Saccharomyces cerevisiae S288C: one gene and its partners. Changing the gene in region 2 together with the main gene of any one other region gives a genetic interaction. Each region holds a gene or a part of one and is shown on either strand. Other genes may lie near its edges. The genes, in order: LAS21, CSF1, BRE1 and EAF7.

The links.
Region 1: mutations in CSF1 (region 2) and LAS21 together harm fitness more than expected from each alone (negative genetic interaction), as found in Saccharomyces cerevisiae (5 studies listed by BioGRID, with this or other methods).
Region 3: mutations in CSF1 (region 2) and BRE1 together harm fitness more than expected from each alone (negative genetic interaction), as found in Saccharomyces cerevisiae (6 studies listed by BioGRID, with this or other methods).
Region 4: mutations in CSF1 (region 2) and EAF7 together harm fitness more than expected from each alone (negative genetic interaction), as found in Saccharomyces cerevisiae (8 studies listed by BioGRID, with this or other methods).

The regions. Positions count from the first base shown.
Region 1 is NC_001142.9:315,343-323,887, forward strand, and holds LAS21 (mannose-ethanolamine phosphotransferase LAS21), read left to right. Parts: upstream 1-1,941; coding exon 1,942-4,434; downstream 4,435-8,545. Other genes in the region: DLS1 (Dls1p), read right to left, coding at 1-215; mitochondrial 54S ribosomal protein bL17m MRPL8, read right to left, coding at 417-1,133; COA3 (Coa3p), read left to right, coding at 1,381-1,638; linker nucleoporin NUP82, read left to right, coding at 4,674-6,815; BNA3 (kynurenine--oxoglutarate transaminase), read left to right, coding at 8,044-8,545. UniProt on the Saccharomyces cerevisiae protein: Ethanolamine phosphate transferase involved in glycosylphosphatidylinositol-anchor biosynthesis. Transfers ethanolamine phosphate to the GPI second mannose.
Region 2 is NC_001144.5:310,505-318,700, reverse strand, and holds the start of CSF1 (Csf1p), read left to right. Parts: upstream 1-2,969; coding exon 2,970-8,196. Other genes in the region: alanine transaminase ALT1, read left to right, coding at 1-464; GPI-anchor transamidase subunit GAA1, read right to left, coding at 750-2,594. UniProt on the Saccharomyces cerevisiae protein: Tube-forming lipid transport protein which provides phosphatidylethanolamine for glycosylphosphatidylinositol (GPI) anchor synthesis in the endoplasmic reticulum. Required for the glucose and other nutrients uptake at low temperature.
Region 3 is NC_001136.10:322,167-330,145, forward strand, and holds BRE1 (E3 ubiquitin-protein ligase BRE1), read right to left. Parts: upstream 3,984-7,979; coding exon 1,881-3,983; downstream 1-1,880. Other genes in the region: 60S ribosomal protein eL31 RPL31A, read left to right, coding at 60-116, 538-822; AHK1 (Ahk1p), read left to right, coding at 4,447-7,401; YET3 (Yet3p), read right to left, coding at 7,670-7,979. UniProt on the Saccharomyces cerevisiae protein: E3 ubiquitin-protein ligase that mediates monoubiquitination of histone H2B to form H2BK123ub1 in association with the E2 enzyme RAD6/UBC2.
Region 4 is NC_001146.8:368,863-375,756, forward strand, and holds EAF7 (Eaf7p), read left to right. Parts: upstream 1-1,505; coding exon 1,506-2,783; downstream 2,784-6,894. Other genes in the region: mitochondrial 37S ribosomal protein uS4m NAM9, read right to left, coding at 1-1,193; peptidylprolyl isomerase FPR1, read right to left, coding at 3,020-3,364; YNL134C (uncharacterized protein), read right to left, coding at 3,589-4,719; FYV6 (Fyv6p), read right to left, coding at 5,309-5,830; ribosome biosynthesis protein KRE33, read left to right, coding at 6,459-6,894. UniProt on the Saccharomyces cerevisiae protein: Component of the NuA4 histone acetyltransferase complex which is involved in transcriptional activation of selected genes principally by acetylation of nucleosomal histone H4 and H2A. The NuA4 complex is also involved in DNA repair.

The DNA of each region.
Region 1 (8,545 bases), on a different chromosome or scaffold from region 2:
TGTTGTTGTTGCTGCTGCTGTTGCCTATGTAGGGACTCATGTGTCAGCACCTGGACGAAGAATTCTGTAGCAAACGCTGTGGCTACGAATGCGTCATCCGAAGTGTCCATATATTCTGGATCATTCTTGGCTATTCTCTGCACTTTTTCTACAGGTAACTTGGGCGAACACAGAGGTGCAGACGCCGTTTCTTTACCACTAGTCTCGTTGTTCATTGTGTTAGCCTGATCACATCGAGCGAGCTATCCTGACGCTATTCTCTCTTGTTTCTTCTGTTTTGTTTCTCTTACATTTTTCATTTTTTTCTCTAGTTGGAAAAAAAAAAAAACACTATATTAGAATACGCACATTGTTAGCGCTGTTCTTTCAATTGTCATCTATATATTTACAAGGGAATACACAAAATCCTGGTTTTTTTAAGGTCTGGGAACCATGACATAGGAGGAGGGTTTCTTCGTCTTCTTTGGCAATGACGAAGAGTAGACCTCCTTCAAAAGTGCCTGCGTCCTTTCGTTTTCGAGTGCCTCATCATAGGGAAGGGACATTTCCTTGAGTAAGACCTGCTTGATGAGCATAATTTCACCATGTAGCTGCGCTTCTGCTTTAAACTTGGCCACTTTGTGAAGATTCTGCAATGTGAGTGGGTTATGAGGTAGCTGGTTGGCGTCATCGTTGATGACTGACTTGACTAACAGCCACATCTTTAAATTGCCCCTGTTCACCGTATGCGATTCGGACATCACGGGAGAGTCGACTAGTTCCAAGACGGATTGCGGCGCTGAGTCGTTAGCCCTAGGCTCTAACCGCAGCACACGCGTGTACCCACCGGGCCTTTCCAAGTACCGCGGTGCGATCTCGCTGAACAACCGCTTCATCAACTTTCTGTTGTCTCCTGCTAAAAACAATTGGCTCTGAATTTGGGACTTTAATTCCGCCTGTGCAACACTATTACTTGTCGTTATTGCCCTCTTTGTCCAGGTAATGATCCGCTCTGCGACCCTGGAAGCCTCTTTACATTTGGCATGCGTTGACACTATAGATTCATGCTGAAACAACTGGCACGCAAGGTTTTTTAGCAGCGCATCCCTATGCGCCTTGTCCCTAGAGAGTTTCCTAGCAATACCCACTGTCATTGTTGCGCTCGACTGTGCTTCTCACCGTTTTTTCTCCTTGGCGTAGCCAAATCTCTTGACCGTTATAAGCTGTTTTAGCTTGTCAAATCCCACTTGTTCTTGTTAACCAACTTTTCCCGCCTCGTACGCGGTGACAGACAAAGCAGTGATTTTTGCTCATTGTATAAAGGGAGTCTTTACTATGGTGGCATAAGCAACAATACTACGTGAGCAGCAACGAAAGCACATATATAGACGACAAAGTAGTATGGTTTTGAATCCGTCCAAGTACCAAGACACCCGCACGTGGAAGATGACGCCTGCCATGATCAGGGCCCGTAAACCCTTTTTCAAAGGCAATATGCTCGGTCTCACGCTGCTGCTGGGTGTCACGGGCTCTGTTTACTACTACACATATCATTTTCTGCACAAGGACAACGACTTTGCAGACGTGCCCATTCCACCCATCGATCCGCAGGAGCTCGAGGCTCTCAAAAAGGAGTACGAAGCCAAGAAGAAGGCATGAAAAGACCGTTAATGTGGAGGTACGCTGTGGTCTTCCATCAATAGGCTTTGCGCTGTTCTTCTCTCCTCTTTTGTAAATAGTTTACCTACTTGCGTATATGTATATATATATATATATAGATATGCTTATACGGATATATACATACATTCTGTTTGTTTATACTCTTTGTCCTACTCTAACAGCCAGCTCTTTAGTTTAAGAATATGATGAAAAACTCAGTTTGGGAAAAAAAAGGAAAATGTTAAAGTATAAACAATATCGAAATAAGTTCATCTACCACGCACACTTCACCAAGTTAGCAAGATGAACTTGAAGCAGTTCACGTGCCTATCATGCGCTCAATTACTCGCTATTCTGCTCTTTATCTTTGCTTTTTTCCCTAGAAAAATCGTGCTGACAGGTATATCAAAGCAAGATCCGGATCAAGACCGTGATCTCCAGCGCGATAGGCCCTTCCAGAAATTGGTGTTTGTGATCATTGATGCTCTCAGATCAGACTTTCTTTTTGATTCGCAGATTTCCCACTTCAACAACGTGCACCAATGGCTCAATACGGGCGAAGCATGGGGTTACACGTCATTTGCTAATCCGCCTACCGTGACGCTGCCTAGACTCAAAAGTATTACTACGGGATCTACACCTAGCTTCATTGACTTGCTGCTGAATGTAGCCCAGGACATAGATTCCAACGATCTTTCGGAGCACGATTCCTGGCTGCAGCAGTTCATCCAACATAATAACACGATTCGTTTCATGGGCGATGACACCTGGCTGAAACTGTTCCCACAGCAATGGTTTGACTTCGCTGACCCGACACACTCGTTCTTTGTCAGTGATTTCACTCAAGTCGATAATAATGTGACGAGGAACTTGCCCGGGAAATTATTTCAGGAATGGGCCCAGTGGGACGTGGCTATCCTGCATTACTTGGGTCTTGACCATATCGGGCATAAAGATGGCCCGCATTCAAAGTTTATGGCTGCTAAACATCAAGAAATGGACAGCATTCTGAAGTCAATATATGATGAAGTGTTGGAACATGAAGATGACGATGATACACTGATTTGTGTTCTTGGCGACCATGGAATGAACGAACTGGGCAACCATGGTGGCTCTTCAGCCGGCGAAACATCAGCAGGATTGTTGTTTTTGTCACCTAAGCTGGCGCAATTTGCTAGGCCAGAATCGCAAGTAAACTACACATTGCCCATCAACGCTAGTCCGGACTGGAATTTCCAGTATTTAGAGACTGTTCAACAAATTGATATCGTCCCCACCATAGCAGCACTGTTTGGTATGCCAATCCCCATGAACAGTGTTGGGATAATAATACCTGACTTTTTACAACTGTTGCCCAATAAGTTGGCAAGTATGAAAGAAAATTTTATGCATTTGTGGAAATTATCAGACCATCACGGCGAGGTTGCTCTTGACGATTTCACTGCCGAAGATATTTATACAAAGATGTACACTATTCAAGAAACGTTAACCAAGTCTGCAACAAATTATAATTATCCTCTTTTGACACTGGCTTTTGTTGGTTTCCTCATAATAACAATCATCGCCATTTATGTATTATTACGTTATTCTGGGCCTGATTTTTGGCAGTTGCGCGTTTCTTCCCTGTCTGTTCTGTTAGTTTCCATTATACTAGGCGTTTCCACATTTGCAAGTAGTTTCATTGAAGAGGAGCACCAACTGTGGTGGTGGATAGTAACTGCATTCTCGGCGGTCCCTCTGTTCGTATACCGATTGAATGTGCTCATAATCGTGCGCTGGTTTATAATGATGGCATGCGTACGCTCAATCAAGTTTTGGAATAACAGTGGCCAGAAATTCATTTATTCTAACGTTATGTCCAATCTACTTAATCAGAATCCTTCCTGGAAGTGGTGCTTAAATATGTTGACATTTCTAGTGCTGATAATGGCATCTGCTGGTTTTCAAGTACTACATTTTATTGTCACTACTATTTTGGTGGGGTTGTGTTTCACGTACAAAATCTCGTGGGAAATCGTCAATGGTAACCAGGCAGAAATACCGCTCTTTATGCATGATTTACTGGCTAAGATAGACTTTGCACCAACTGAAAGTAACTTGATTGTACTTGCGCGCGTTTTCTTCCAAGCTTGGGCTATTGTTGTCATTTCAAGGTTGGTCCTGACGAAATTGAAAGTACTTAACAAGAACTACCTCATTAAAGATATGAAAGTTTATATAACAATTCTTTTGATGTTCCAAACTTCTTCTCAGAACATAGGTCAATTTCTCGTTTTCCAAATATTAGAGTCCCAAATTTTTTACTTTTTCCAAAATATTCCAACCGCCTCATTAACATCAACAAGTAAGATTTATTTTTCGAATTTGGTGTCCTTAATTTTACAAAATTTTACATTTTTCCAATTCGGTGGCACAAATTCCATTTCTACTATAGACCTTGGAAACGCATACCATGGTGTTTCCTCAGACTACAACATCTACGTAGTGGGGATATTAATGTCCGTTGCCAATTTCGCGCCGGCAATATACTGGTCCATGCTACCGTGGTCAATAAACTACGCCTCTATTCCAGCACAAGTTAAGTTGCAAACGTTCATCAGAAGTAAGTTACCTGCCTTCACCTATCATTGTATATTTGGAACTTGTTTGATGACGGCATGCGTCGTTTTGAGATTTCATCTCTTTATTTGGTCCGTTTTCAGTCCAAAATTATGTTATTTTCTTGGGTGGAATTTTGTGATGGGATTGCTGAATGGCTGGTTACCTGAATTGGCCCTCCTTTGCGCTCTTGATTAACATAGAATTGTTCACGTGGTCTAAATATGTATACATATATGATAGTTTATAGATTCATACTGAGACAAGTGAAAAAAAAAAAATCTACTATCGACCTTCTCTCTTTTCGCGGCAGCAAAAATGAAAAATTAACTTCAATAAAAAAGTTGAATACTTTCAAATATTCTAATTGCATTTAATATTTAAGCAACAAAAGGACAGCGATAATTGAGTGGTGGCTTAATTCTATACTCCAAAGTATGTCCCAATCTAGTAGGTTAAGTGCACTTCCTATTTTCCAAGCATCGCTTTCGGCAAGCCAATCTCCACGTTACATTTTTAGTTCTCAGAATGGCACAAGGATTGTTTTCATTCAAGATAACATAATAAGGTGGTACAATGTACTCACTGATTCACTTTACCACAGTTTGAACTTTAGTCGTCATCTCGTCTTGGATGATACCTTCCATGTAATATCTAGTACGTCTGGTGACCTACTCTGTCTTTTCAATGACAACGAGATTTTTGTAATGGAAGTTCCTTGGGGCTATTCCAACGTTGAAGACGTTTCCATTCAAGATGCATTCCAAATTTTCCACTATTCAATTGATGAAGAAGAAGTTGGTCCGAAATCGTCCATTAAGAAAGTTTTGTTTCATCCAAAGAGTTATCGTGATTCTTGTATAGTGGTTTTGAAAGAGGATGACACTATCACGATGTTTGACATCCTTAATTCGCAAGAAAAGCCTATCGTTTTGAACAAACCGAACAACTCCTTTGGTTTAGATGCACGTGTTAACGACATCACAGATTTAGAATTCAGTAAGGACGGATTGACGTTATATTGTCTAAACACCACAGAAGGCGGTGATATCTTTGCATTTTATCCATTTTTACCGTCAGTATTACTGTTAAATGAGAAAGATCTCAACTTGATCCTAAACAAATCTTTAGTAATGTACGAGTCCCTGGATTCTACAACAGATGTTATAGTTAAAAGGAATGTTATTAAGCAGTTACAGTTTGTGTCAAAACTGCATGAAAATTGGAATTCAAGATTTGGCAAAGTCGACATACAAAAGGAATATCGTTTAGCCAAGGTTCAAGGACCATTCACGATAAACCCCTTTCCCGGCGAGCTGTATGACTATACTGCTACAAATATTGCAACCATACTAATTGATAATGGGCAAAATGAAATTGTTTGTGTCAGTTTTGATGATGGGTCTTTAATCTTACTCTTCAAAGATTTGGAAATGTCAATGTCGTGGGATGTTGACAATTACGTGTATAATAATTCTTTGGTTCTAATTGAACGAGTCAAACTACAAAGAGAAATTAAGTCTCTAATAACGTTACCTGAACAGTTGGGAAAACTTTATGTCATTTCCGATAATATTATACAACAAGTAAATTTTATGAGCTGGGCTTCTACATTGAGTAAATGTATCAACGAATCGGATTTGAATCCACTTGCAGGATTGAAATTTGAAAGTAAACTTGAGGATATTGCCACCATAGAAAGAATTCCAAACCTAGCGTATATCAACTGGAATGACCAATCTAATTTAGCCTTGATGTCGAATAAAACATTGACTTTTCAAAATATTTCAAGCGATATGAAACCGCAAAGCACCGCAGCTGAAACAAGTATCAGTACAGAAAAAAGTGACACGGTAGGAGATGGTTTTAAAATGAGTTTCACACAGCCCATAAATGAGATTCTTATTTTGAACGATAATTTTCAAAAAGCCTGTATTAGTCCATGTGAACGAATTATCCCATCAGCAGACCGCCAGATACCTTTAAAAAACGAAGCTAGTGAAAATCAGTTGGAAATTTTCACGGATATTTCCAAAGAATTTTTGCAAAGAATTGTTAAAGCTCAAACTTTGGGTGTTTCTATCCACAATAGAATTCATGAGCAACAGTTCGAATTGACGCGCCAACTACAATCGACATGCAAAATAATTTCAAAGGATGATGATTTAAGGAGAAAATTCGAAGCACAAAATAAGAAATGGGATGCACAACTAAGCAGACAGTCAGAATTAATGGAGAGATTTAGTAAATTGAGCAAGAAGCTATCTCAAATCGCCGAATCCAATAAATTTAAAGAAAAGAAAATAAGCCATGGTGAGATGAAATGGTTCAAAGAGATACGAAACCAAATATTGCAATTCAACAGCTTTGTTCACTCTCAAAAATCCCTTCAACAAGATTTATCGTACTTGAAGAGTGAACTAACTCGTATCGAGGCAGAAACTATCAAAGTCGATAAAAAGAGCCAAAACGAATGGGATGAGCTACGCAAAATGCTTGAAATAGATTCAAAGATAATTAAAGAATGCAATGAAGAATTGTTACAAGTTTCTCAGGAATTTACTACTAAAACTCAATGAGTAAGCGACTTGCATAGTCTGCTATCATATATGTACGCTAAGAAACAACTGGGCAATGGTATAATATCATGTAGCAAGAGGACATTATATATGAATTGGTCAATATATAAAGCCTTCTGTGCACCAAATCGTTAGGATGATTTTTCAGTATGCTGTATCATTGTATCGTATATTCATTCGTATCTCTTTTACCTCACTAACCGCTGCCAAAATTTACATGTATACAAAATAAAAGTCTTTTTTATGACCTTATTTGGTGAGTAATGCTACTTTTGTAAAGAGTGATGGAAACTATTATTCCAAAGGGTTAGAAGAAGGTGAGGAATACGTTCATATCACCGCTACAGATCGTGTCTCTCGGTTATGAGTAATCAAACCCTCTGCAAGCAACACAGTTACTTTTTTTCGGTTTTTTCTTTTCGTGTGAATTTTTATCCAGTGAGTTTCCTTGTTCACTTTCGAGAATGGAAGGCTGATTTCGAATTTTTATATTCAACAACTGTATTTGTATTAGGCTTTGCAATAGTAGATGAAAAGTGCAGAAGACGAATCTGCTACCCTCACAATACAAAGAAAAACAAAATCGTCATTTTAATATAGGAAGACACCGCTCAGGTAATTCAATATTGAATCTGGTTGCACTTTTCTTACGATGTAAATACCCACAAACTTCTTGTACGGTGAGCGTCTGACAACGAAATCAATTTACGGAGCAAGGATTTTGACAGTAGAGCAGATTGTTTTGAGTAGGATTTAGGAATCAAGACCTCCATCTTTGTCGCATTATTCCTAAATGTAACGTAACTCGTTTGATAAGAGAATGTCTAATCGAAGAGAGTTAATAACTTAATAAGCTCTTTAAAAGAACGATGGCATTTATCGTCTCCTATGCCAAGATAATTACTGGCTCAAAATTGTTCAGCGTTCATAAAACTTTGATATCACTTTCTGGCGCACAAGCTAACCTTTATGTAGTTCTTACGTAGATTCTTTTTAGCAAGTGCCTGGTAGTGGTTATTACATAAATGTATCTTTTCATTTGATAACAATTTCTTCAGTAGCATGTCGTGTCTAGCACGTGACGTAGAACTGTGGCTTTTTTGTTGTCATTATGACAATCAAGATACCAAAATTCAGTCATGTTTAAAAGGGGAAGGTACGATAGAGATATATATAAAGTGTTCAATTTACTATAATTGCGTATAGAATCCATTGTTACTTGCTCTCAATGAAACAACGATTCATTCGTCAATTTACGAACCTAATGTCTACTTCGAGACCGAAAGTTGTTGCCAACAAATATTTCACTTCTAACACTGCCAAAGATGTTTGGTCGCTAACCAATGAAGCCGCTGCAAAAGCTGCCAATAACTCCAAAAACCAAGGCCGTGAACTTATTAATTTAGGCCAAGGCTTTTTTTCATATTCCCCTCCTCAATTCGCCATTAAGGAGGCTCAGAAAGCCCTAGACATTCCAATGGTCAATCAATATTCTCCAACTAGAGGTCGACCTTCATTAATTAATTCCTTGATTAAGTTGTATTCTCCTATTTATAACACAGAATTGAAAGCGGAAAATGTTACCGTAACAACAGGTGCCAATGAAGGTATACTTTCTTGCTTGATGGGGCTTTTGAACGCTGGCGACGAGGTTATTGTTTTTGAACCTTTCTTTGACCAATATATTCCAAATATCGAACTTTGCGGTGGTAAAGTTGTTTACGTCCCCA
Region 2 (8,196 bases):
TGAAACTAGCCTCGATTTCATTGTGTCCCGTTGTCACAGGTCAAGCTTTGGTTGATTTGATGGTTCGTCCACCAGTGGAAGGGGAGGAATCATTCGAGTCGGACCAAGCAGAACGTAACTCCATCCATGAAAAGTTAATTACAAGAGCAATGACACTGTATGAGACATTTAACTCTTTAGAAGGCATTGAATGTCAAAAGCCTCAAGGTGCCATGTATTTATTCCCTAAGATAGACTTACCTTTCAAGGCAGTTCAAGAAGCTCGCCACTTAGAGTTAACTCCGGATGAATTTTATTGTAAGAAGTTGTTAGAATCTACTGGCATTTGCACTGTTCCCGGTTCTGGGTTTGGTCAAGAACCTGGTACTTACCATTTAAGAACAACATTTTTGGCACCTGGTCTGGAATGGATTAAGAAATGGGAAAGTTTCCATAAAGAATTTTTTGACCAATACCGTGACTGAATAAAAGGGGGCAGAACAGTCTTCAATAAACATTTAAATAGCTAGTTTATTATAATAATGTGATCGTTTCTTTCTTCCACAACTCACATATAGTTATTTGATATTATCGCATCTTCGCTTCTCTATGCCATGTTTCCATCAATACTTATGTTTTATTTAATACATATTTGTATCAGTATATCATATCATTTCATCTTCTTTTGCTTCGATTTGTAATGTTTGTGCGTATAAAATCAATTGCGTAGTTCGAACACCCGTTAATCCTTTACTTCTTACCAATGGCACCTAACTTTGCTTTTCTTTCGACCTTACTACGACAGATTTAGATTCAAACGATGACGCTAATATCAATAGCCAACATGGAAGCCAACCTATACAAAGTACAAACCAACTCCAACATTTCAAATCCAACCATGCTGAAACCAGTTTGTTTATTATATCAAATCCATGAAATTCATCATCAAAAAATAGTCCGAATAAGGTTATTGAAATAAATGGATTTGTCAAAATTAATAGTACTAAATTTTTTAGTTTTTGTTTCTGTTGTTGGGGGGTTGCTGGCGTTGTATCCATGTGATTCTCGACGAGCTCTATCTCATCTTTCGGCTCAGTTTTTATTGGGTTAGAGGATTGAGTTGTCACCTCATGTTCGCTAGAACTTTCAACAATGGTCTTCACAAATGTCATAGGAAATGCCAATGTGCCGATCAGTAAAGCCATTGCAAAGTTTATCATTAGCAAAGATGTTGAAACCAAACTGAAATATAAAAAAGCAACATTTTTCAACCTGTATGATAGTGGTTCTGAGATGTGAATTTTTCTGGAAAGTATCAAAGGTAAAAAACAAGATGCCATGCTAATTGTCATCAATAATCCCGATGAAGGTATTAGAAGAAACGCTTGTGAAACAACAAATGATATCACCAATGACACGAACCAAACCAACAACGCTACCAAATTATACTCGGAAAATAAGGATATATTTGCATAAGCATTGTTTATAAATGCATTTAATGAACTTATGGCGAATGCTATAGATAAAGCCACAGCGCTTGGCAAATAACTACTAATGGATACGAACTGACGTGGTGCTAATAACAAATAAAAGAAGAACGATTGGTGAAATTTTTCCAAAAGGTTATTAATAGAGCGAAACATTGCTTCGGGTATACGTCCAAATGTAGTAATATCATGACCACTGTTTCCATGTGCTTTCAATGTTACAGATTGAATCCTCCAGCCGCTAAATGCCTCGTTACCATGGGGCTTTTTAACACCGGACAACGCCCAATCCCTTATTCCCAGGCATAATATTTTTAATCTTGACCAGAAATTATTATTAGTTAACTGATCACTGGGTAGACCGTGCAAAGAAACTTTCATACCTTCATGTTCCGTAATGGATATAGCGATGTTGACAAGATCCAAATTGGGCAGCTCACCATTCAGACCGTCGTATGAGATTTCTACATACTCGAAGAAATCTTCCGTACTCGAATAATCCAACACAACAGCAGCTTCAATGGAACCACCAGTCAAATCTAAGGAAGTATGGTATGCCTCAACCCATGATCTTAATGCTGCACGAGGATTTTCGCTGAAGACAACAATTATATTCTTGGACCATACTGGCCAACGTGAGAAAAATCTTGCTAAAGATACACCCAAAGCTGCGCCGCCAATATTGAATTCATCATCTGAATTAAACCATGGAACGGCAAGCACCATCGCTTCTGTTCCATCACCCCTAGGAGCGTGCATTACACCGTACAATGTTTCTCCATATTGTTCATTTTCGTAAATAGCAGTCTTAGTACCAAATTCTTGTAACCAAGAACCCATCAAATTGTTTCTTTCCATAGAAGTCATGTTTACCATTTCTTTAATTTGAGATCGATAGCCCCTCAAAATGTTCCATTCAGATTCTCTAAAGTAACTATACGCTTGTGAAGGCATCAATGCATTCTCAGAAATGTATGTTCTTCTGTACTGTCCATCCATAGGCAGAATAGCTATAGAAATAAACCCAAATAGAGCGCATAGCATGGAAATAACTGGTAATAAGGCGATTATACGCGGGACAAGCCCCATATCAACAATCCTTCGATGCAACTTCTCCAATAAGGCCATTCTTGGTGTATTATACGCGTCTTTGGTCTGTCAAGTCCTTTTATAAGACAGCAAATGTCATTTCTTTCTAAGTGTAGCCGGCGTGTATTGTTTATGACTTTTTTTTCTACCGCTGGCATTAAAGTGAGAGGTTCACGATGCGTTCCCAATAACTTCGTAGGGATGGCGATCAATATACAAATAGAGGGAAGCCAAACTCCCCACTATAAAGCTGTTGGCACGGTTTTATAAGCTTCAACCTTTCTAGGCTACAGGATACTCAAAAAAAATTACTGCGGTATTATCAACATAGTGCTCTTTGGAAAAAAAAAAAGAATAGTACTCATTAAAGCCACCTGACTCAAGTCTTCTATTGACGGTAATAAGTTAGCAAGCATGGAAGCTATTTCACAATTACGTGGTGTTCCATTGACACACCAAAAGGACTTTAGCTGGGTCTTTTTAGTAGATTGGATTCTCACGGTAGTAGTATGTTTGACAATGATATTCTACATGGGAAGAATCTATGCATACCTTGTAAGTTTTATATTAGAATGGCTACTATGGAAACGAGCGAAAATCAAGATAAATGTTGAGACACTTCGTGTCTCCTTACTAGGTGGTCGAATACATTTTAAAAACCTTTCCGTAATACACAAAGATTATACAATTTCGGTATTAGAGGGTAGTTTAACATGGAAATACTGGCTTTTAAATTGCAGAAAAGCAGAATTGATAGAGAATAACAAGTCTTCTTCTGGCAAAAAAGCAAAGCTTCCCTGTAAAATTTCCGTAGAATGTGAAGGTCTAGAAATTTTTATTTACAACAGAACAGTGGCGTACGATAATGTTATAAACTTACTATCAAAAGATGAACGCGATAAATTTGAAAAATACCTTAATGAGCATTCTTTTCCTGAACCTTTTAGCGATGGAAGTAGTGCTGATAAATTAGATGAAGATCTAAGCGAATCTGCATACACAACGAACTCTGATGCATCAATTGTTAATGACAGGGACTACCAAGAAACAGATATCGGCAAACATCCAAAGCTACTGATGTTTTTACCAATTGAGCTTAAATTTAGCCGCGGTTCCCTACTGTTAGGAAACAAATTCACGCCATCTGTTATGATTCTAAGTTATGAAAGTGGAAAAGGCATAATAGATGTTTTACCTCCAAAAGAGCGATTAGATTTATACAGAAATAAAACACAGATGGAATTCAAAAACTTCGAAATTTCTATCAAACAAAATATTGGTTACGATGATGCTATTGGATTGAAGTTTAAAATAGATAGAGGGAAAGTGTCAAAGTTATGGAAAACGTTTGTACGAGTCTTTCAGATAGTAACCAAGCCTGTTGTACCGAAAAAGACTAAAAAAAGCGCAGGCACATCAGATGACAATTTCTATCATAAATGGAAAGGTTTATCTCTTTATAAGGCTTCTGCGGGCGACGCTAAAGCAAGTGATTTAGATGATGTTGAGTTCGATTTGACGAACCATGAATATGCTAAATTTACATCAATTTTAAAATGCCCAAAGGTCACAATTGCATATGACGTGGATGTTCCGGGCGTTGTGCCACATGGTGCACATCCGACAATACCTGATATTGATGGACCAGATGTGGGCAATAACGGAGCACCTCCAGATTTTGCTTTAGATGTTCAAATTCACGGAGGATCCATCTGTTACGGACCTTGGGCTCAAAGACAAGTCAGTCATCTACAAAGAGTTCTATCACCGGTAGTTTCAAGGACAGCCAAACCTATAAAAAAACTCCCGCCAGGTTCTAGAAGAATATATACACTTTTCAGGATGAATATATCAATAATGGAAGATACTACTTGGCGTATACCGACGAGGGAAAGTAGCAAAGACCCCGAATTTTTGAAACACTACAAAGAAACTAATGAAGAATATAGGCCATTTGGATGGATGGATCTCCGATTTTGTAAGGACACCTATGCAAATTTCAATATAAGTGTTTGTCCTACAGTGCAAGGTTTTCAGAATAATTTCCATGTTCATTTCCTGGAAACCGAAATTAGGTCAAGTGTTAATCACGATATTTTGTTAAAAAGCAAGGTATTCGATATTGATGGGGATATTGGATATCCATTGGGTTGGAATAGCAAAGCTATATGGATAATTAACATGAAGTCAGAACAATTAGAGGCGTTTCTGCTACGTGAGCATATAACTTTAGTTGCAGATACGCTTTCAGACTTTTCCGCTGGTGATCCTACGCCTTACGAACTTTTTAGACCATTCGTATACAAAGTCAATTGGGAAATGGAAGGATATTCCATTTACTTAAACGTCAATGATCACAATATTGTTAACAATCCGTTAGATTTTAACGAAAACTGTTATTTATCCCTTCATGGTGATAAGCTTTCAATTGATGTCACGGTACCCCGTGAGAGTATTTTGGGGACATACACAGATATGTCCTACGAGATCTCAACTCCAATGTTCAGAATGATGTTAAATACCCCCCCTTGGAATACATTGAACGAATTCATGAAACATAAAGAAGTGGGGAGAGCATACGACTTTACAATTAAAGGTTCTTACCTTCTCTATTCCGAGTTAGATATTGATAATGTCGATACGCTAGTCATAGAGTGTAACAGCAAGAGTACAGTACTTCACTGCTATGGGTTTGTCATGAGGTATTTAACAAACGTAAAGATGAATTACTTCGGTGAATTTTTTAATTTTGTGACGTCAGAAGAGTACACAGGTGTCCTTGGCGCTAGGGAAGTCGGAGATGTCACTACGAAAAGCTCGGTGGCAGATTTGGCATCTACTGTAGATTCAGGGTACCAAAATAGCAGTCTAAAGAACGAATCTGAGGATAAAGGTCCTATGAAAAGGTCAGATTTGAAAAGGACTACCAACGAAACTGATATTTGGTTCACATTTTCGGTTTGGGATGGTGCTCTGATATTACCAGAAACGATTTACAGTTTTGATCCATGCATTGCACTACATTTTGCCGAACTTGTAGTGGATTTCAGAAGTTGTAATTATTATATGGACATAATGGCGGTTCTCAACGGGACTTCAATAAAGCGGCACGTTTCAAAACAAATAAATGAAGTATTTGATTTTATACGTCGTAATAACGGAGCTGATGAGCAAGAGCACGGATTGCTTTCGGACCTCACCATTCATGGACATAGAATGTATGGATTACCACCCACAGAACCTACCTACTTTTGTCAATGGGATATCAATCTCGGAGATTTATGCATTGATTCAGATATTGAATTTATAAAGGGATTCTTTAATTCCTTTTATAAGATAGGTTTTGGCTACAATGACTTGGAAAATATATTATTATATGACACTGAGACCATTAATGATATGACCTCGCTAACCGTGCACGTTGAAAAAATAAGAATAGGCCTTAAAGATCCGGTGATGAAATCTCAATCAGTTATTAGTGCTGAATCGATATTGTTTACTTTGATCGACTTTGAAAACGAAAAATATTCACAAAGAATAGACGTGAAAATTCCAAAATTGACAATTTCGTTAAATTGCGTGATGGGCGATGGCGTAGACACATCATTTCTCAAATTCGAAACAAAATTAAGATTTACAAACTTTGAGCAATACAAGGATATCGATAAAAAAAGATCAGAACAACGCAGATATATAACAATACACGATTCACCCTATCATAGGTGTCCTTTTCTTCTTCCGCTGTTCTATCAGGATTCGGATACATACCAAAACCTGTACGGGGCTATAGCACCATCTTCGTCTATCCCAACTTTACCTCTTCCCACTTTGCCTGATACTATAGATTATATCATTGAAGATATTGTGGGCGAGTATGCTACCCTTCTGGAGACCACAAATCCATTCAAGAACATATTCGCAGAAACTCCATCAACTATGGAGCCTTCAAGAGCCAGCTTCAGTGAAGATGATAATGACGAAGAAGCGGACCCTTCAAGCTTCAAACCTGTCGCTTTTACAGAAGACAGAAACCACGAAAGGGATAACTATGTTGTTGATGTTTCATATATTCTGTTGGATGTCGACCCGTTGCTTTTTATTTTCGCTAAGAGTTTATTAGAACAGCTTTACTCTGAAAACATGGTACAAGTCTTAGACGATATTGAAATTGGGATTGTGAAACGATTAAGCAACCTTCAAGAAGGGATCACTTCTATTTCAAACATTGATATCCATATTGCTTATCTAAATTTAATCTGGCAAGAGACAGGTGAGGAAGGTTTTGAGCTCTATTTAGATCGTATTGATTATCAAATGAGTGAAAAGTCTCTAGAGAAGAACCGAACAAATAAATTATTAGAAGTAGCAGCTTTAGCAAAGGTAAAAACTGTCAGAGTGACTGTTAACCAGAAGAAAAATCCAGACTTGTCTGAAGATCGTCCCCCTGCACTGTCGCTAGGGATTGAGGGTTTCGAAGTATGGTCTTCTACAGAAGATAGACAAGTTAACTCATTAAACTTAACGTCATCAGATATTACCATAGACGAATCTCAAATGGAATGGCTGTTTGAGTACTGTAGTGACCAGGGAAATCTTATTCAAGAGGTTTGCACTTCTTTTAATTCTATTCAGAACACCAGAAGTAATTCAAAGACAGAACTCATTTCAAAGCTCACAGCCGCAAGCGAATATTATCAAATTAGTCATGATCCTTACGTCATAACAAAACCTGCTTTTATTATGAGACTTTCCAAAGGGCATGTGCGTGAGAATCGTAGTTGGAAAATTATTACGCGTCTGAGACACATTTTAACGTACCTTCCTGATGATTGGCAAAGCAACATCGACGAAGTGCTAAAAGAAAAGAAATATACCTCTGCTAAAGATGCAAAAAATATCTTCATGTCTGTGTTTTCGACTTGGAGAAATTGGGAGTTCTCAGATGTTGCAAGGTCGTATATATACGGCAAATTATTCACGGCAGAAAATGAGAAACATAAACAAAATTTGATTAAAAAATTGTTGAAGTGTACCATGGGATCATTTTACCTTACTGTTTATGGTGAGGGATATGAGGTTGAGCATAATTTTGTTGTTGCGGATGCCAATCTGGTAGTGGATTTGACGCCTCCGGTGACAAGCTTACCTTCAAATCGAGAAGAAACTATTGAAATTACGGGAAGAGTAGGCTCAGTAAAAGGAAAATTCAGTGATAGGTTACTTAAATTGCAAGATCTTATTCCACTCATTGCAGCAGTGGGCGAAGATGACAAAAGTGATCCAAAAAAGGAGTTATCAAAGCAATTCAAAATGAACACCGTTTTATTAGTGGATAAAAGTGAACTGCAACTGGTCATGGACCAAACGAAGCTGATGAGTAGAACAGTTGGGGGTAGAGTTAGTTTACTATGGGAAAATCTAAAAGATTCAACTAGTCAAGCGGGTTCATTGGTTATATTTTCCCAGAAATCGGAAGTGTGGTTAAAACACACATCTGTCATTTTGGGAGAAGCTCAACTGCGCGACTTTTCAGTTTTAGCGACTACTGAGGCATGGTCACACAAGCCTACGATTCTGATAAACAACCAGTGCGCAGATCTTCATTTTAGAGCAATGAGTTCAACTGAGCAATTAGTAACCG
Region 3 (7,979 bases), on a different chromosome or scaffold from region 2:
ATTTCATTCAAGTTTTAAAGAAAGAATTAATAAGCAAACAGAACTCAATCAAAGGAAAAATGGCCGGTTTGAAAGACGTTGTCACTCGTGAATACACCATTAACTTGCACAAAAGAGTATGTGAAAGAATAAAAATATAATGCCCAAGGGCTTGTCATCTGAATGGTTAATTAAGAAGATATTTCTATAGTCAAGGAATACAATATCAAGAATTTGTACCACAGAAACCTATCAACAAAGATCATTGATCAAGATATATTTTATAATACGGAATTTGAAGACCATAATCAATATTATAACATCCAAGAGGGGAAAGATACACTTCGGCTGGACTTAAAGAGCGATGAAGACAGAAATAGTTATCTTAAATAGTGGAATCCTAGATTTTAAGTCGACAATTATCCATATCCCAAGTTTGACTAAATATGAATCAGAACAAATTGGGTCTCCAATATACAAAACCATTCATCAAGATTACACTAATATTAAAATGAACAATCGTTACTAACAAAAAATTTACCATTTTATTTTTAATAGTTGCACGGTGTCTCCTTCAAGAAGAGAGCTCCAAGAGCTGTCAAGGAAATTAAGAAGTTCGCCAAGTTACACATGGGTACTGATGATGTCCGTCTAGCTCCAGAATTGAACCAAGCTATCTGGAAGAGAGGTGTCAAGGGTGTTGAATACAGATTAAGATTGAGAATTTCCAGAAAGAGAAACGAAGAAGAAGACGCCAAGAACCCATTGTTCTCCTACGTTGAACCTGTCTTAGTTGCTTCTGCCAAGGGTCTACAAACTGTTGTTGTCGAAGAAGATGCTTAAATCAATTAAATAAAAATAATACTCATTTTATATTAATAAATATAAAGTAAACATTTTCGATTTGTATAAATCTCTTGTACTCAAGCCAAGACTTCTGTATTCATTGAAGCGGGGCACTCAGATCAATTTTTATCAATGATATCATCTGCTACGCTTGTACAAAGGGTTACCTTCGAATTATTTAAAAGATGCAAGTCTACGTATAAGTGAAGGCGATAAAAATGGATAAATCAGTGTAACTATGACTATAAGGTTATGTTGGCCACTCATCACATTAAAAGACTCCCAATATTCTCCAACAGAAACGAAGTATACCGTGCGTCTGATTATGGTCCACCAGAACGATGAGATCATAAAGACACAAAGTAAATGAGAAGTTTTACAATATTGAAAAAATACTGTAAAAGGATGGTCTTAAAAAGTAGTTTTGAAGTACTTCTGTTCTTAATAGACCAACGGAAAATTAAAATCTTCATCATTAAAAGTCCATAATTCATTCGCTTTCAGCAAAACATAGAGCAGCAAGAAGCTAAAGAAATGACAAGAACTATCGGCAGAGTGAACTCACTATACCATTAATCTTATCACCCGTTTATAAATCTATTCTTGTCCTTTCCAGTTGATATGATTCTGCTATTATCCTTGTTCCCCCCAAGGACTGCAGTAGAAGAGTTATGTTACAAATGTTGATATATATATATATATATATATATATATATGTATGGACATTTGTGATGAAAATATATCTTGAACAAGCGCGATTAAGGTCATAATAAAAAATCACAGAAAATTTTTCAGGTCGCGGGCGTTCTCTCACCCGGCCGCCCAAAGTATTATATGAATCTTTAGGGCTTGTAGGAATTATCAGCATGATATGTACAATTAGAGTTTTTCTTTGGAAACATGCGACAGTAGACGTCACTCTTTGATTCAGAAGTTAGGCTAGGATGTACGCAAATAAAATAAAAGCAATGACAAAACTAGATTTACATATATTATATGTATATGTATGTGGAGGATATAACACAAACAGTGGAAAAGTGGTAGAATAATTAGTATTACAAGTGCACTGTCAATAAATCATTGGAACTGAATGCTTTGTTGCATGTAGGGCATTTTCTCATTCTCGCTGCCAATCGTTCCTTACAGCAATTCTCACAAAAGACATGGCCACAGGTTTTAATAGCCATGTTTTTCCAATTTTTAGAACACAGGGAACAATAAACAAGTGTACGGAAATTTGCTAGTTCTTCTACGAGTGCTTCATCGCTCGAGCCCTTATTTTTGTTGTTACCACGGAACAATGTATCATGTAGTTTTTCACACTTGGATTCTAGATGAGATGCCTTCTGCTTGAAGTGCTTCAATTCTATTTCTGTATCATTTAATTTAGTTTCTAGATGCGTCATATCTGCAATGCTTTTGTTACTTTCTTCTTGTAGCTTTTCTAATGACCTTTTCAGTTTAGTGGATGTATTATTTAAATCAATTATTTTTAGTGTCTCTGTTTTACTGGAATCAATTAACCTGCGTTCATTATTTTGAGAAAGATCCAGTTGTTTATGTAAATTTCCTATTTTTTGCTGTAGCAATCTATCAGAGTCCTTTAACTGTAGAATAAGCTCATTTGATTTACTGAGGCTTTTAGAAAGAGTTTTGATTTCAATTAAAATTGAATCTTTGGACCTCATCGCGGCAAAATATTTCTGATCAGCCTTAGTTTTTTCTACGGTAAGCTTGGATATAACAGATTCGTGATTAATAATCTCAGAGTACTTTTTATGAGTTAAGTCGGATAACTCTCTAAAACCCTTCTCTAAGTCTTGAATTTCCTTTATTAATGCATCTTGAGTCGACGAGGATTTTGTATCGTTTGATCTTTGATCAATTTTTGTCCATTGCTCCTTCAAAATATCAATTGCATGTTGTAAATCGCTCAACACTTCAGTCTTGGATTTTTCAGCTTCCAAAATGGCGATTTTGCTTAGTAAATCATCACGAGCCGTTCTTATTCTTACAACGTCCTTTTCCAATGAACTGTTCATTTCTACTAGGGAGTCGAGACTTTTCTGGAATTCTTCTCGGACCTTCTTCGTATATATTTCTTTCTCTTTGGCTAAAACTTGAAATTTTGATAAAAAGGAACTATTGATCTCAGATAATTCTGCGTTTTGTTCAGTCAAATGTTGAATTTTTGCTAACAGGGACTCATGGTCATATGACTTGAAATCTGGGTCTTGGTCTGCTGCTGCTATCTGTTGCTTTTTTAAATTGGATACCTCAGAACGTGTTTTGATGAGCTCTTCCTCGTTTTCCCTTCTGATATTTTCAAGGTCTTTTATAGTGGAACTCAAGGAGTTTATCTCTGCCCGTAAATCAGAAAATTTCAGATCCAATTCTAATTTTTCATTCTCAGCATCTTCTTTTCGTTCATCCTCCGCCTGCACAAGTTCATCACCTTTCTCGGATTTTTTGGATGTATTATCACCATTAATTGCAGAGGAGTCTTTATTTCCAGATTTTATATTGTTTTCATTAGATTCTTTTTCATCTTCCCGTAATTCCTTTACAGCATCAGTCTTATCTTCCTTAAAAACACGTTTTATAGTAAAGGATTCATCTCTATCATACTTGCGAATTATATTTGTATAATATTCCTTCAAAGCAGAAATCTCCTCTGTCAATTGCGAATTTTCATAAAAGAGCTCCTCTTTACTTTTCCGCAAGTTTTTTAACTCCGTTGTTAATTCTTGAATATGATCCGAAGCATTACTATTAGTATTACTATCTGTCGTGTTTGGCTTCCCATATTTAGTCAGTAGCTTCATGAAAGAATCACTGCGCTGAACTATCAACGTCTCATCGCCTTGGGCTATTTCCCTACATAGTTGCTTCTCGTTGGCGTCTGTGCAGAATGTTTCGATAAACCTAGCTAAAGTTACTATCAGCGCCATAATATTTGCCAACTTGCGGGAAACATCTATGCACTCCCTTCTTGAAAGTTCATATTGCTTTCGCAAGGCTTCAAAGTCGACTCTTCGACGATTTATACATCTAAACAAAGCTTCTTTTTGAAACGCTATCACATCAGATTGAGTAAGCGGTTCACTAGGATCGCTTAATTCTAGCTTGATCTTCTTAGTAGCAGGCTCGGCCGTCATATCTGATTATTATCAGCTAGCACGATTAGCATAAAAACGGTGAAAGCCCTTTCTATCTCTGTTAAAAACCTTGGGGCGCTCTCTGTTAGTTTACCGTTCAAACAACATCCATCCAACTTTTTTTAATCTTCTTCTTTTTTGTTTTTTCGCCTTCTTTAAGAAAGTTTCGTTGGATGTGATTATAATCACGTGATCAAATGCTTTTGTCACTTTTATATAATAACGATGGTTTGATCAAAGTACGATCAGTTGGTGCTTCATTTCAAAGTTAGAAGACATCCTTAGTGCCTATTGTCGATCTGCTCTTTCTTTTTGAATCCACTGAAATTAACGATCTCAGAATTTCACCAGTGATTTTCCCAATATTATCTTTCGTGGGTAGAGAAACAATTCTGAACTCGATTGTGCTTCGTATGCTATATACGCATTGTTGTAGCACTAAAGATCATATTGCTCATTAAGCATGGGTCCTGCCATACATAATCAACTATATGAATGTGGATTAAAGACTACGTCTCAAGATGGCTTCTTGATGGACAATTATGAAACTCAATTATTTCAATCGTTGAACAGGTTTATCAATTTCATAAACAATGCTAATCAGTCAGCTAGTAATAAAGAACAAAATACAAAATTTTGCAAATCCTCCTCAAATTTTTTACGCTTGAAACTACTAACGGTTCTAAGACAATGGTGTGATTCTTCACGAAGCAACTGTACACTGGAGGTTAGAGATGTTTTGACCCAATGGTGGGTCACACTTTTAAACTTTCTAAATTCTGACACCTCGCTTCAAATAGATACTGCCCTTGAATTGAGCTTGAGCATAGAACTAACTTCCGTGTGTCTCGAGTGCCTCAGCAAAATTATGACCATACTAATAATATTGCCTTTCCATTCATCCAGAGACATGGAAATATACTCACATCATCTTTTGCTGACCATTCATTGCATAACAAACAAGTTGATTTTGATTTCTAAAAACTCCAAAAAACTTAAACGTACAAATAGTGATGACAAGTGCTCTATAAACGACAAGAAGCTGCAATACCTTAACAAATATTCTTCCTTGCTGCGAGCATTCATCGGGAAGTTAAATGCTTACGCATTTTTTTATCTACCAGAAGACTTTCATTTCGATACAATTTTGTTATTGACAGTTTCTCCTCAAATCTCTTCAAGTATTCAAACATCTTTGTTTTCATGGAAGAAGAGACAATATAAATTCACCGACGATCAGGGACAAATGATCCGCACTGAAGCTTTTGAAAATAAAGATACTAAATTTTTTAAGATCATTGTTTCTTATATTAAAAATGATTTTGTACTTATGTCATTTTATTGGCACTATTGGTATATCATACTTCAATTTATGAAATTCTCTGATTCAGATGTAGGAATTAAAAAATCGACATTGTCATGCATACCTGGCTCAGAAATTTTATTGACGCATGTAACCACTAGATTCTTGAATTCAGATTTGAATAAATTCACGCGGATTATTAAACAAACGCCGAATCCAAGGATAGCAAATGAGAATGTGACAGAGTCACATCCAAATTTCAAGAGTTTGAATAGTAGCAATGCTTTAATTACATCTGAAAGGATTAATGATTACGTATTTTCTAATTTTAAGACAATCAAATTATGGGAATGTCTTAGAAGCCTTTCAGGATGCATTCTTAAAGAAAATCATCCGGAATACCTGGAAAATATGCTTTCCTTACATGAGTCTCTATTGATAGACTATGTCTCCACTATTTCAGCGTACGATTATATTGCAGCGAACGTCATTTACAATAAGGTTCTCCAGTTTATTATTTTCCAGTTTGAAAGTTTACCTTCTCTGAAATTCATTCAATGGAGGTCGTGGTACAATGGGCTTTTGAGTATGTTAAGGACCAAAAATGTTAACTGCCAGACTGTTTCTTTATTATGCCTTTTCAATATTTGGAAGCACGTAACCATTGAGGACCGCGATGAAATAGTAAAAGTGCTGTTAAGTGATTTTTGGGAGTCATTGATTTTTGAAAACGAATTTCCTTTGATTAGAATTTTATTTATGAAGGTATTAGTTTTTAAAATCATTCCAAGTGTTCAAAATTCTTCTTCATTACGATTCTTGCCACATGATAGAATTAAACAACTATATGAAGAGCTACTGGTAAACAAGGAGGAGTTATTTGAGATGCAAAAACACGATTCAAATGATATAGTGGCGCATAGAAAGAATGCTCTCGTTTTTAATGGTAACTCACGTTTGATGATGATTCCAAAAAAACCAAATACAGAGGACCACTTAGTTTATAAGATTAATCATGATAAAAATTTAACTACAGAAAGATTTCCCTCTGTCAGCTCAGTGGCAAATACAAGACCTAACGTTATCTTGAAAAATGGTAAATACGCTTATGATATTTTGGACGAAATGACAAGTAAAGCTGCCTTTCTTCTTGCAGAAAAGAAGACCCGACTAAATCCCAAAAAAAATCACAAAATTATGGATGGCTACGAAGGAGGTCAGGAAAACGAAGATAATGATGAAGACTCAGAAGATAGTGGCTCGCATAAAAATAAGAGAAAGGAAGGTAATAGTTCTTTATCGGCAACACTGAACACTTGGCTTTCAAAATTTTCAAGTACTTCTGAAGATTCACAGAAGAAGAAGGAACAGGCAAATGAATTAGGCAACGATTTTGAATATGATGAAGATGTGGCTGATTTTGCAGAAATTTTGCCGAAGCAGTCATCTAGTAATATTGAAAAAATTTTTAAGCATGGTAACAATTCAGGATCAATGGTATCATATAATTCAAGTATCAAGCTCAATAGGAGGGAGAATATATTGATAGGTCCACCAGAGTTGAGATTTTCTAATGAAATCAAGGAACACAATAGTATTGCTACAATATTCAAACTGGTATTTATTCAAACCAATAGAAGAGTCGTCGAAAAAATAGATTTGGCGAACATGAAATGGGGGACAATCCACGGAGGCAGTAAGTACATGAAGCCTTTACCCGTCCCGAAAGATTTGGTTGCGAGTGTTGCTAAGAACGAAAGTGAGACGAGAAACTTAGCTACCTTATGCGGTAATGGTCTAGATTTTGAGATACCGGTGCCTGATTTTAATATTTTTGGCAAATGTATGGAAGATGAGCAAGATGTAGCCAAAATTGGTAATCAGAATGTGGAAGATTTGAAAGTTACTGGGGGGCGGGAGGTGACAATTTGGAAGCAGATCCAAGATATGAAGTTGAGAACAAGGATACAAAAAATCTGTGTTTTAATTGAGACGTTCAATGCTACAGTAAGAGAATATTTTGAGTTTTCCAATCGATTAGAGCATGACGGTATATTTATAGATTTTGAAGTGAGGAAACCTAGTAGTAATAATTCTATTAATATCAAAGTCTGAATAATAGAATGAGTTACATACGTAAACGTGTAGTATTATTATTATTATTCTATTTCCTTTCCGTTTTTATTATTTATATATATATATATATATATATATATTTGGGTGTTTATATTTAGGTAGGGCATAAGGATTTACTGTCGGCATGAACCTACTTGAACAAAAAAATAAAAATCAAAAGAAAAATAATGTAGGCTTTTGCACATCGACTATATATAAATATATATATACACACTTCTGTGCAGAAGAAAAGGAATAAAACGTCAAACTAATTTATTTCTTCTTGCAACGATTCCGACTTCTCCTTTAAACGTGCAATTTCGTCATCGATGTCCTGAATTTTCTTCAATAGTTCAAAATTTTTCTCATCGCCGTGGTCATCCTTGGAAGCGCCGGATTGAGCAGCAGCTTCGGCAGTAACAGAGTCGTTCTTCTTGACATCGCTGGAGGCTACTGGAGGCGATGCTCTGTATATGTCTTTCATGGTTAAAAGTTCTATGACTAGCCCAAAAGTCCTAACGACGACAAAGGTCAAAAACAAAGTTATACCTGTCAAATACATATTCCTTTGGGCAAAG
Region 4 (6,894 bases), on a different chromosome or scaffold from region 2:
GCTTTTGGTTCATCACCTTCCAATTCAGATAATTTAATCGGATCATGATATTTTAAATTTTTGGCCCATTTGGGGTCGAACGTTAGTGAACCATCAGAAATATCACTCATCCTAGTTTTGAAGTGGTCTGTTATATTTTTCGTCCATAGTTTCACGCTTTCCGCTATGATTCTTTTTCCAGATCTTAAAGCGGATTTGGCTCCATCAGATAATTCTTTTTTTGTGGTTTCGTTAGGATTCATCATTTCTGTAGCCAGTGAAATCAACTCGTCAGGCTGACATTTAGAAATGATTTCTCTTCTAATTTCACCGGATTTGAAAAACTCTTGATAAGCGTTATTTAGACTTTCTAACAACTGAGAGTCCTGGATCTCAGGGAGACCCTGTTTGAGTTCATCTATCGACAAGGGCTCATTATTCGACTTACCTATTTCCTTCTCTACATTTAAAAGCTTTCTCAAGATACCTTCCTGTGTGCATCCCTTTAATGCGTTATATTGCTGTGACTCCAGATTCTTATTATATTGCCTCAAAAATTCTTGAAACTGAAGTTTCTTTGGGTTAGAATCCGACATCTTTTCAAAATTTTCCAACTTCTTCTCCCAAACTTCCTTTGGCTCCGTTTTCGCTTCCTTAACATACTTGTTCCATAAAACTATTTGAGTCTTATCGATCTTTAGCGCTTCTTGGAAACTTGGTTTCTTGGCACCGAGAGCTTCCAGCACTTTGTCCGGTTTGACACTGAACATATCTCCAGGCTTTAAAGTATAGCTTGGATGCTTAATTTTTACACCATTAACGCGAACATTTCCATGCAAGATGAACTGACGAGCTTGTCTTACTGACGAAGCAAACATAGCCCTGAAAAGGGCAAAATCAAGCCTTTTTTCTAATACTGCAAAAGTTTGTAATAAAAATGGTGTTTCCTTGATTTCACCTCCACGCAGTGAAGCATCCAATTGTGCTACTGAATCCAATTTGGGTTTGAAAACGGTTTGCCATCTCTTTTCTGTCAAATGTTCACCATGATAAGCTCGGGTTTCCTGCTTTGCCGTCCACTTCTGTTGATACAAAGATTTAGACTTCAAGTCTACACCACCCTTTTTGTACAAATTAAACAAATTATACTTATTGAAAGAAGTGCGTACTCGTCCTCTTGCCAAAGATTTTAGCAAATTAGCCTTTCTTGGCATTATCTCTGTATTTTAATTGTAACCAGTCTTCCGTACCAAAAAAGTATAAAGGAGCTCCTACTCGATATATATTCGAATTAGTTGCACTTCCTCTGGGGAAACCTTCACCTTTTTGACCGTTCGCTCTCTCTTTTTGTATATCTTCAGCATAGTTCCTTAACTAATACTGCGAAGCGAAACGTATCCGGCTGCCACCATGAAAAGTAAAATCGTGCTTAACGAAGAAATCAATCATATAATCTATGAAGATGGATTGGCGGAGTTTATTAGAAGTTGCTAGCTGCTAGTGAAGAAAAGGGAATCGTGGATGTGATGGTAGTACATTGGACAATTGTGGATGAAATACGACTTCTTAGATGGGCATCTGAATTCAAACCGGCCGGAATTCATAAGCATTTCCACATGTTTTGCATAGTGGAAAGAATGAATTCGCCAGATAAGTATCCAGTGACGCTATTACAGAAAGAAACCATGAAGTTGGGGAAGGTATTTACTGCAAAAGACATATGGGATAAGTTGAGCCAATCTTACAATTTAGAGAAAATTGATGAAATGGAGAATACATATTCCTTGGAAGCCACTACAGAGAGTTCACGGAATGGCAATGGAAATGGTGACGATGCAGAAATTCATGAAGAAACTTTACTTGAATTGAATAATCGAATAAGAGTACGCAAGCAAGATTTTACATTACCTTGGGAGGAATACGGTGAGTTGATCTTAGAAAATGCAAGAAAAAGTCCAAACTCTAACGAAGAGTATCCTCGAGTTGAAGATATGAATGAGAAAGATAGTACAATTCCAAAGGAAAGTCCTTCTACAGACCTAAAGAACGACAACAATAAACAGGAAAAAAATGCGACAATTAAAGTGAAAGAGTTGCCTGAATATCATACAGAGGAAAATGATAGCCCCATAGACGTCCAGAAAGAACCCATTAAGGAGGTGCAAAGCGATGAAAAGGAACTCCAGAGGGAACATATGAGTGAAGAAGAACAGAAAATGAAAAGTACAAATAAAACAGCAGCTCCAGTAAGAAAATCTCAAAGGTTGAAAAGAAGTAAGGAAGTTAAATTTGAAGATGAAGAAAAGGAAGAGATAGAAGAAGATAATACGAAAGACGAAGAACAGAAAGAAAAGAAAGAGGAGATCCAGGAGCCAAAAATAACCCACAATGAAGAAGTAGATAAGGAAAAAAACGAAAACGAAGAAGGTGATGATGAGCGTGAAAAATCCACCTCTTATGAAAATACCAATGGCTCTGAAAGCGAAGGAGTTGACGAAGGAGTTGACGAAGAACTGGGATACGAGTCTGAACGTGAGGCAGAAGGTAAAGGAAAACAAATTGAATCAGAAGGGGGCAACTTAAAGAAAAAAACGGAAAACAAAAAAGGAGATGATCAACAGGATGATACCAAAAAGGATTCTAAGGACAAAAATGAACCATTAGCAAAGAGAACTAGGCATTCATCATCCACAGGTAATACTAGCAATGAAACCTCGCCGAAAAGGAAAAGGCGGAAGGCAGGCTCTCGTAAAAATAGCCCTCCTGCCACAAGAGTTTCCAGCAGGCTACGAAATAAAAAATAATCACTGCTCATATATAGATCGCGATAATAAACGCTCATCCGTTCCATAGAGGTATCTGTATTTAATGTAGTGTAGCAGATATAGAATAAAATAACCTTAATGAAGAAATAGAATATACGTATGCTTCTCCTTGTCTAATCTTTTGTAATTATATATCTATTTCAATTAAGGCTCAGATACTTACCATAAACATAAATAAAAAGCAGAAAGGCGGCTCAATTGATAGTACTTTGCTTTTAGTTGACCTTCAACAATTCGACGTCGAAAACCAAAGTACTGTTTGGTGGAATCAAACCTGGGAAACCACGTGGGCCATAAGCATATGGGCCAGGGATGGTTAACCTAGCTTTTTCACCAACAGACAACTTTGGAATACCAACATCCCAACCCTTGATGACTTGGCCGACACCGATGTTACATTGGAATGGAGAGCCCCTGTCAACGGAGGAATCGAATTTTTGGCCGTTCTCCAAGGTACCGGTGTAATGAATGGTAACCAAGTCACCTGTCTTTGGGAAGGTGGCACCATCACCTGGGGAAATTCTGTCAATTTTGACGTTACCTTCAATTACTTCAGACATTATTACTTGTTTTGATTGATTTTTTGCTTATACTCGAGTTTAGGTGAAAGGCCTTACTTTAAGCTTTCACGAGTTTATCCACCAAATTCTTTCAACGACGTCTCTCTTCCGGCAATTTTTTTTGCCCGAAAAAGACTAAGGCGGGTGAGGGGAATTGAACGGCACTATAATGTGGAGGTAAACAGAATGATCAAGCGCTATATACATAAGTAGCTATAGATTATTTATTTCAAGACGGCAACCAACTTTTCGCCAGAATTCCTCCCGTGCTTAATATCATCAAGTAACTGTGGGATATCATCTAACCCGTTCTTGTAAACTTTCACTGGGATGTGGTGGATTTCACCATCATTGATTTTTGGATTGATGAACTTAATAAATTTTATGGCGGCTTCCTTGTATTCAGGGTCTGCTGGCAAAGTAAACGTGCCAAATGGGACGTCGTTACCTCCTATCAAATATAGAAGGGTTCCTTCAATACTGACGTTTTGCCTCCTGTCTTCCTCCTTGATATCTTTTTCGGTTAAAACGGTCAATTGAACGACCGTAGCGTCTAAGTCATCAGCGGCACATTTGTACACCTGTTGAATAGTTTCTGTGTTGGAGACACAGTCCACCAAGTAAGGAATGTTGTTGTACTTCTTTTTTATCTGTTCGATAACGTCAGCATCGTGGTAGTCAAAAAGTTCATCTGCACCGTACTCTTTCAACAATTTTTCATGTTTACGAGAAGCAACGACGATGATCTTGCTGAAACCGTTTAGTTTTTTTGCCAATTGAATAAGCATCTGGCCAACAGCAGTGGCACCACCCCAAAATAAGATGGGTTGATCTCTTTGCGCTTTGGAGGGCTTCCATGTCATGTCCAAGCCAAAACTATGTGTAAGGATCATACCAGCCGTGGTCAATGAGACTGGGAGGGATACTGCCCCTTCTAAAGATTTTACGGGGCCTTCTGGTAGCTTGTCTTTACCGCACAATCTAAACTCTCTGGCTGGTTTATAAGCAGTCTCGGATGAAATGGCAGAGTACTCAGCAAAGGCACCGTTTGAGGGGAACCTCACTGAAGCACCGTGAATAACCCCATAAATGTAATCACCAATGGCAAAGCGTGCAGCATCAACATTTGGGCCCAACTTTACGATTTGGCCGGCTGCATCACAGCCTAAGAGGGCACCTTGAGGACCAATCTTGAAATCAATATGTTTCCAATCGGTAGGGTTACCGGCAACGGCGACAGTCTTAATTAGAACAAATCCTTCTTCTAATTCAGGAATTGGAATGTCCTGTTTGACTACAGCCTTGCCATTTTCAATGACAACGGCTTTCATGGTTTCTGGAATCGAGGCGGACATGCTTGATATGCAGTATGATATTGCTTTTTGCTGTGTATAGTTAACGATTTTTTTTCAACTAGAATTACAGTACTAATCAAGAAGTGAGAGGAAGAAAACGGCAAAAAAAAAACTCTCTCCTTTTAAATCGAAGCATTGCCGAAATACCTTAAAAACGGTCTTAAATCCTTAACATCTGTCCTTACTAATCGATGCCAATCCAACGGAGGGAGCCCATATGCTAGGTACTAAGAGTACGCAGGGGCGGAACCGCGCGACAACCGTAAGCGGATCCGAGGAACTTTAGTCAGCAGGGGCTGTGATGACCATTAAAAAATTGCGGACACAGGTAGTGGAACGAGCAATCAATGTGATCAATTTGCCATTTCATTCCACGAAATGGTTTCCATTCTAAGCATGAATGCTTTGACGTTACGGGTGTTGGTTATTTCGGTTCTTTTTATTGCTTCCGTGGGCACGTACGAGAAGGGAAGATGAATAGAAAAAGAGTTTCCGAGTTTTGTATGTCCAATGTTTACATAATTTATATAACTTGAAGTTTAATCTTGGCATAAAGCTCTAGTTGTGACGAAGTGTGTAGGCCATCACATCAGTTCTCCAGTTTTCTACCCAATTTTTTTATGGATACCTTGATTTTTGGTTTAGGGCTGGATGTCTTTACGCCCTTTATTTGTGTTTTACTGCCCAAACTAGTGCCGGTCTCTAAATATTTTTCTGTATTAGTAGTAGAATCGTTCTCCATTAGTAATGCTTTTTTTTTCTTTTCAAAATTGATTGCCTTGACGTCTAAGTAGTTATTCAGTTCTTTTTCCTTTTTTAGCAACTCATTCTTGCTCTTCTGGTAAAATTCCAGGTCCTCTTTACTCAACCTAGTAAAACTTTCACGGTCTCTCACCAAACCGTTATATTGTTTTTGTTTACTAATAGCATTAGACCTAAGCTGATCTCGCAGGGACTTCCTGGTTTTCCTTTTATATTCCGCTTCATATTTTTTTTGCTCCACTTGCTCTCGTATCCTCTGGGCCTCTACATTACCAACTCCTTCTGACACGAATTTCAGTGGTTTTTTCTCTCTTGCACTATTAGCATTATTATCACTGGTAGATGACATGATGATATAACAGAGCCCACAGTCTTTTGTTGGAACCGCTTTCTCTAGGCTTCGATGGACTTACATCTAATTGCACATTCTCGTGCGTTTAAACGTCATTTTTCCCTCAGATTGGCAGTGCATCAAAAGTAATTCCTAGGGACGACAAAAAGGCGGAAAAGGTTTCAGAAAAATAAGCGGACTTAGCTCAGTTGGGAGAGCGCCAGACTGAAGAAAAACTTCGGTCAAGTCATCTGGAGGTCCTGTGTTCGATCCACAGAGTTCGCAATTTGAAAAATTTTTTTTAATGATTACGCATGTGGATGTGTTCAGTATCAACCGATGCTCGCTTTTCCAATCAAATGATACAAGCCAGACCGAACATTGCATGTTTTCCATTGTAACTTCCCAGGTATATCTGAATTAGTTGTAAAAAGTAATAGTTTACCCGGAATCGTGTGAAAAATTTTGAAAAAAAAAAATGAAGAGCCAAGATACAATGAGATGAGATGAGGTGCTGAAGATGCATGGAGATTCTGTATTTATCTCAAATAAAGTACGCAATAGAGTATATAAGCCAAGTCACCTTTTATATTTCTTAGTTTTTAACTTGCAAAGACTTATAAGAGACTTATAAAACAAGGAGAAAATGGCCAAAAAAGCTATCGATTCAAGAATCCCGTCACTGATCAGGAATGGTGTTCAAACCAAACAAAGGTCCATATTTGTCATCGTTGGGGACAGGGCACGTAACCAGCTCCCAAATTTACATTATTTGATGATGAGTGCTGACCTTAAGATGAACAAGTCCGTCTTATGGGCTTATAAGAAGAAGCTTCTAGGATTCACTTCGCACAGAAAAAAAAGAGAGAATAAAATTAAGAAAGAAATTAAAAGAGGTACAAGGGAAGTGAATGAAATGGACCCTTTTGAATCTTTTATCTCTAACCAAAATATCAGATATGTATACTACAAAGAGAGTGAGAAAATATTGGGTAATACCTATGGTATGTGTATTCTTCAGGACTTCGAGGCATTAACCCCAAATCTTTTAGCAAGAACCATTGAAACTGTAGAAGGTGGTG